Oreochromis niloticus: one gene and its partner. The protein of the gene in region 2 interacts with the protein of the main gene of each other region in a pairwise test. Links are inferred from orthologs where the notes say so. Each region holds a gene or a part of one and is shown on either strand. Other genes may lie near its edges.

Region 1 (3,752 bases), on a different chromosome or scaffold from region 2:
AAGAGTTTCCATCTCTCTCTCTCTGTCAAACTTATTCTCATAAATACGACCCGCCTCAAACGCCTCATGGAAATTTCATCAAATTTTGCACAGATGTTTAATTGGACTCAAGAATGAATTAATACTGGTAGTCAAAGGTTAAAGGTCACCGAGCACATTGTCAACCATAACCAATTAGAAGAAAATTTCGCATAAATGCTCAGCAGGGTAAAATGATGACATTTAATATAAAAGTGGCAACTTGACTGATACGTGCAGTTTTTTCTGACATTGTGGTGCCTAAAATTTTGGCCACCTTATTATGTAAACAAACACGCAAGCGAAAACAACAGGAAATGTGACAGTCAGCGATCCGGATACCTACAATCAAAACTCTCCTCTTGAGGAAATACTTGCAAATTAGAGCTTGTATTAAAAGAAGCATCCAGCTGCGTCGAGACACTAACCCCATACTGTGTTATTTGCAACTTTCAACAGCATGCCATAAAACATCTGTGTGGTATGAAAGGTGCCCCTGACAAACAGGAATACCAGTGGTCTCTGGATGACCTGGGAAAAAGACCTTGGCTGTACATTTGAAGATGAGTCATGGGAGAACATCATTTCTAAAAGGGGGAAGTTTTTCAGGGAAGCCGGGGGCAAATTTATCTGATATTAAAAAAAAAAAAAAAAGATGACTACACTCCTTCTAGACCACACAGAAGGGTTTATTTAAGGATGCTTTATGCTGAAAATATATGTGCATGCATTGTGGGAAAATTTTTTTTCTTTCTGGAGAAATGTTTTGGATTACATGGACCGTTATAGTGCTAGCATTAAAGAACATGAGGCATAAAAACCTCAGCATGAACAGAGCTACGAGGAGCTGGGAACTCTAAGACACAAGGAGCGCGCGCACAGCCAGGGAGCTGACGATGTCATGACAAGGAACAAAGGAAGACTGAGGAATTGAATTCACAGGACAACAAGAGGAAGGGCAACAGGTGGAAACACAGCTGGAACAAATCTGAGTAACAGAACAGGGGAAGCAAAACTGAGCATAACACACATGAGACGAGGCACTGTCAAAATAAAACAGGAAGTGACATACACATAGCGACCCAGACGAGGACATGAAAGCTTGACAGTAGGATAGGAGGTAAACGGACACGGAAGCACGTGACAGAGTGGGGAGACAAAGAACATGGAAACAGGTACAGGAGACACAACGCAGAGACATGACTAAGACACGGAGAGAGGGAGAGGAAGACATAAGACAGGCTGGGGAACCTAAGGAAACGCTAAAGACAGAACACAGAGACGAAGACTATGACAGACGGGACATGACAACAAGACTGACATCCACAGGAGACACCGAGGACAAAACACAGGGACGAGACATGAAAGGAAACTAATATCAGACTCTGAGACCCTAGAAAAAAAGTAAACTCAAGTCTAAACCATACAAAACTAAAACTCTTAATCATTTTCATCACGCAAAGGAAAGAATAATGAATTCACACAAAACTTGACCCAGGTACCATGACAACAGGAGATTCCTACCACAGCTGAATGAGTCTATAATGGGAGGAACGATGGTTGGGGAACAGATGATGAACACTTCTGCCTGTGAGAACTCGTTGGAAAGGCTTAATTGTAAAAATGAGACAAAATCAAAGCATAACTTGATATGGACAGTCTGTACTGGACGTTTGGCAAATAAATGTCACCCAATAACTTATGGTACAAACTGTCCTGTGTGCCTCACTCTGTGTCTGTCTTGTTCTGTGTTTTTCTGTTTATATCTAACTCAATAAAAATTTGGAATTAGAAGACAAAAAACGATCCTCATGAGACGTTACACCAGATTACTACACCAGATTTTCCAAAAGCTGAAATGGACATGAAGTGGTAATTCAAGGAACCGGATAAAATCAGAGTATAACACTGCAGAATGAGGTGGTTTTTATCGTCCTTGTTACATTTAGCCATGGGACAAGTCCCAACAATTCTGCACTGGATAAATGTTCAAAGACAGCGTGATAAAGAGCTGAATAACTTTAAACTACTGTAGCGAATACTTCTTTGTTTCCCCAAAACAGAAAAACTGACAGTTTTACAGTCATTGCATCCTTATTTTCTACATTTCTAGGAAAAAGGAGGAAAACATGGAGAGCAGTGAGGGCACGGTGCGTGGTGTGGTACAGCAGCATAATTATGACTGAAGTTTAAAGAGTTATGACGGTCTGAGATCGACACTCTGAAATCTGGAAGCATCTAAATTGAGAGAATGCTGTCATATGCATCGCCAACAATCATCATTTGTTCCCTCCCCCTCCAGTTTGTGCCCCCACCCCAAATTCTTCCTGTTCAATGAACCAAACCCATGTTTTGTCTTTTTATCCAGCAAGCACACACACACGAAAAACACACACCCTTCACTCGGCCTCTCCCTTCTCTCCTTGTGATTACCTCTGGTTTTGACAGCTGGCGAGCTGGGCGGTGTGTCGCTTAAGGCTGGGGAGAGGTAGAGATAGCTGGTGTTGACTCCTTGTTCAAAGTCAAACGGAGAGCGGTATTCCTCCAGAGGGTCCATGCTTTATTCTTTACAGCTTTCAGCGCGTTGCCGACCGGAGCGACTACCACCTCCTTTTTACCAGCGCTACCTAAGCAGAGCCAGCCGAGTGCTTATTGCTGATTGTTTGCATGTGACCCAGGCGCGTGCTGCTTGTGTCCGTTTCCTTCTTTGCTAGACATGCGGAGACACACTCGAGTGTCCAAGTGTGTGCATGCACAAGGAAGGAGGTTTTGTATCGGCCCTCAGGTAGTCACAAGGTGAGAGTGACTACAGTGATGCCAATTTCTAAATATCGGTTTCTGTTTGGGCCAAGGTGTTGTGAGCCCTTTGCTCTTGTCTTGCTGTTAATAAGTTACCTGTCCCCTCAAGCAGCTGTTGTAGCCAGCGCGCACACACACAGACACACAAAAAACACACCCTCCCACTTCCTCTCCACTATAATCCCAAAGGTCAGTTCTTAGTCCATCCTGCAGACCGTGTGCGCCATCGCTGTTTCGGGTGCCTAGCTGCTGTTGTGATACCGCACGGTACTCCTGTTCCAATACTCTCGGGTTCCACCGCCAGTTCCCGCCCTCCCTCGCTTCCCAGCCTGTCAATCGAGGAGGAAATGAGAGCGACCCCATTTGTGTGGACCGGTCATGTGATGTGATTGTGTAGGGGCGCATTAGATGAAAAGCATAATCTGCAGTGTCCCAGATTACAGCAAAGCTCTAATCCAGGGTGGACAGTCCAGCTTGAAGCAGCGGTAATGCTAGTCAGCTAGAAAGGAGAAGAGAGGGTGCCAGAGGCTACGCGAAGTGGTAGAGGGAACAAGTGCTACTGTGTGCCTGCCACAATGGCATTCTCTGAACTAGAAAGCTCCTGTAATGCAAGACCTTCATCACATGAAAACAAACTCTTTTAATCAAGTTTTTCTCGCCTGAAAGCAGACTTTGTGCCGTGTCGTAACACAAAAGAAAGAGCCGTGACATAAAGCAGGTATTTAGGCTGCACAAAGAGAGGAAAACATAAGCGCAATTCTTGTCACATTTCAATCAAATGTGCAAAAAGCAGCGTAGATGGCAACATATTAGACACTGAAGCTTTCAAGGTTGCACTGAAAGCAGCACAAGTTTTATGACTGTGAACGGACAGAATCCCTGAAAGAGCCGGAGAGCATTGTGGAAGGAGGTACAAAACAAACATCGGCTAGTTT
Region 2 (3,752 bases):
TTTGTGCTGCTGACTCGGTGAGCCTCGTGGGTCTACAGGCAGGTCTTTGTTGTGTTTTAGTGTGAGCTCATCATCCATGTCACTCATTGTTCAGATGAAAACAAACAACACCACAAGCCGCTCTTGGGGCGGGGCTCAGAGCCTCGGGCCAGTGTGGCTCTGTCTGAGAGCCCAGAGTGGACACAGACATGAGTCCTTTATAATGACAACACAAGAACAAGGCACAACTTCTGGCATTTTTACTTATATTTAAACATTATAACATAGTTATTGCACTAATTAAACTTTTTTTTGGCTTCCTTTGCTGTGATCTATATGTTTTACTTCAATTTGAATGCTCAATGCTTTGATCCAGTCCTGGTTAGCATCTTCAGTCACGTGTCTTTAAAATTTGCTCATTTCACTTTAAAGCGATTGAGTGATTGTAAAATGAAGAAGTTATCTTATCTCAGTGGATCTCAGTGGGCCATATAAAGTGATGCATAACCCAACAAGGGAATCCATAAATCCTACGAGAGTCAGGGTAAATACAGCATAAATTTGTGAACATTGCATTGCCTTTTGTCATTGATTCAAAGCCCTATAATATCTTGTGTCATTTTCCAAGTTCTGTAGTGTGCTAAAAATGTAAACAGTTCACAGAGGTGGCACAATATCTACAACAAAAACAAAGGAATGAACATTACACAATTTATCTGCAGTCACACTGACAAAGCCTATTAATTTACCTGCAATAAAGGAGACTGTATTCAACAGCTAGCTCAACCAGCTAAAGAGAAAACTGACAACAACTGTGATACTGTATATTAGTCTATTGTAATACAACAATGTGCAATGGTCTAAACAGGTTTACTGACTCAACTTTAAGAGGGGAGTCTTTGTTTGATATGTAGACACTTCAGTACACCAGTTTGATAAAACATGACAGACAGGAAGCTTGACAAACTAATCTATCAACAGCTTACCAAGAAGTTCCAGTCCGTATTGATGCGGTCAGCCAAACCAGTGATGAGGAGAGCGAGGTAGGCGGAGGAGAAGACGAAGGTGGTTACAGAGACAAACATCACCCAGCCCTGCAGCAGGGGCACCGGCACATTGGACGAAGCCACCAGGATCCATACTAGACCACCAAATAACTGAGGACACACACAAGAACCTGTGTTAGTGACGGACGCAGTTATTCCTATATTTTTTTCACTGCATTAGCAAGGCTACTTTGAATGAGCCTGCTTCTATCCACTATCTCATCTACTTGCGTCACAGTGTGCAAATTCCTTAGACCATTTTCTTTTAGAGGTAACATGAGGGCAGCGAGTCAGCGGAACATATTATTTTATACTACTGCATCAGCTGGTGCATTCTTTAAAGTGATTTAAATGATATTGTAATGTTCTTTTGAAACACACCCTGAGGCTACAGTCACTTTTGTTTCTTGACAAAAGCAACCTGTTGCATTGTTTTCAAGGTACAACAAGTTTTAAGGCAGACTATGAGGATGCAAATGTTGTTGCTGCTTGGAGCATTTGGATACCGATCAGCAACAGAATGTAAGTCAAACTGCCATAGCTACAATGATTCATTCTGGAGAAAGACTGTCATTATCAACAGTATATACTACAGGTTTTATTCAGTGGAAACACCTTTAGCATTAGCAAAGTTTGATACCAGTCACAAGAAAACATTTGGCAGACTGAAGGCGCGTTTAGTCAGGCTGTATATGCGATAGACAATGAGTAAAATAACCACCAAGATTAGAGGACGCATGTAAAGGTGGAGTTGAGGTCACCTTGCCGAGTTATAGAATGCACTTCATTGCAGATGCAAACAACAAGTTATCTGCTCACTTATTAAAGTCTTAAAGTCATAAATAGTTCGTAACGAGATAACGCTCGTAGACCAGCAGGGTTACAGAGCTGCTTGTAAGGAATCACCGTGACGAAGAGTCACAGTGCGTAGCGCTGACAACGACACCGAGAAAGAAAAAAGGGGGAGAAATGGCAGGAAAAAATCCTACAAGTAAATGTCTAACTGGACTTTAACTGCAAGAATCATCAATTATTAATAAAGACAAAGTGACTATATACACACACACTGAGGTCACCGATAAATGTACAAATAAAACCAACAGGTGCACCTTTTGTTCGCTCTCTCCTTTTTAAATATAAAAACAACACTTACTATTTCTAAACAGAGGAGGGCTCCGGAATAAGTCCTCAACACGCCCAGTCCCAAAGGTAAAGTAATAGTTGCCGTTGGAAACGAGGTGGCAGCGGGGTTGACAGCGGGGTTGGCGGCTGGTTCCGACATCTCTCCTGTTTCTGTCTTCCCCCCTTTTCTCTTTCCCTCTCTCTCTCTCGCCCTCTCGTCTCCCACTAAAAAGAGCCCGTTAAACAAAGGACCGGGACAGCGAGAGAAATTCCTCAGGCGTCATATGTCCCCCAGAACAGGTCGGACAGGTGCAGGGGCCACTCCCTGGAAGACCGTGCTGCGTTCAAGGACATCACGGAAGTTTGTGCGCCCAGAGCCAATCTTTCACTCGAACGCCGGTGTTGTGCCAAAAAGTGATTGTCTGCCAGAAAGTGATTGCCGTCCGCGGGAGCGCAAAACTGGCTATTTGGCTCATTTTGAAAACAAGATTTGGGTTATACATGCAGTGGTTCAAGCTGAACAAAAAAATATTTACAAATAAATACTACTTTCACTACTATTACTACTACTAATAAAATAATAACAGTGAATTAATCTCACAGTCCGGGCAACAAATCACTTATTTTAAAAGGAAGTGTAAAGTTCTAACCGATATGTATACGCTATGAATAGCTATATTAAGAACAGAAGATAGAACACAAATAATCGTGTGATCCAGCTTTGAATTATTACTTTATGAGACACGGGATAGACTGTAGCTGTTGCCCAGAACAAGTAAATGTATTTCTTCATATACAAAAGACTGACAAGTGGGTTTGACTCAATAATAAAAGAGCTACTGTTATGTCCGATTTCTAGTTGCATTTAAGTTTGTACTGACTTTCAGAAAGGTCATAAAATGCTCAAGGGTGTGTAGCCTGGTGATGATACAACCATAGATAGGTCACTCCTTTATTTCTTTAGTTTGTTCATCTGAGTTTTAAGCTCTCCACACCCTCATTGTCAATTTCACATATCTCTGCTGTTATTAACGAAGGTAAAGGTTAACGCTCTTATTGCGATTTAGATAAATCTAACGCAAAGTGAAGGCAGCAATTTAACACAACGCTGAATCACTCTGTTGGAGCGCTTTACTCCCTCTGTGTGAACGGCCACCGGCAGGCAGACACCACAGCTATTAGAGTATTAGGGAGAGGCAAAAATCAGATAGCTGGAGTCATGACTAGACACTCACTGATCCGTGTTACAAAAGAAATATGGGCTAAGAAGCAGTAGTGCAGGTACTGGTTAACCTTCATAGTGCAGGAGGAAAGAAGCTTTAAAAGTAAATATTAGTTTAAGCAATGAAGTAAGAACCGAAGAGATAAAAGCACTGATTTCTAAACCGACACACACTTGCTACAAACACAACTGAAACGACGAGTTTTGATGAGTAATTTGTTGAAATTGGTGGATCACAAGGTTGTTATTATCAAGAAATGAAAATGCGGTTACTGTGGATGAAAAGAGAAGGTTCTTTTGAAAAGCCACTGTTAATGATTAGCCAGGATTTGTGTTATGTGAGCCAGCGCTGATATGACCTCTAAAAAGGCACTATTCACTTC

The links.
Region 1: the proteins of mal2 (region 2) and tpd52 interact in a two-hybrid assay, tested with the Homo sapiens proteins (2 studies listed by BioGRID and IntAct). The link is inferred for Oreochromis niloticus from reciprocal best matches to the Homo sapiens genes MAL2 and TPD52.

What each region holds. Positions count from the first base shown.
Region 1 is NC_031985.2:20,700,481-20,704,232, forward strand, and holds the start of tpd52 (tumor protein D52), read right to left. Parts: upstream 2,900-3,752; 5' UTR 2,576-2,899; coding exon 2,452-2,575; intron 1-2,451.
Region 2 is NC_031976.2:8,402,796-8,406,547, reverse strand, and holds the start of mal2 (protein MAL2), read right to left. Parts: upstream 2,511-3,752; 5' UTR 2,308-2,510; coding exon 2,179-2,307; intron 1,137-2,178; coding exon 966-1,136; intron 1-965. UniProt on the Homo sapiens protein: Member of the machinery of polarized transport. Required for the indirect transcytotic route at the step of the egress of the transcytosing cargo from perinuclear endosomes in order for it to travel to the apical surface via a raft-dependent pathway.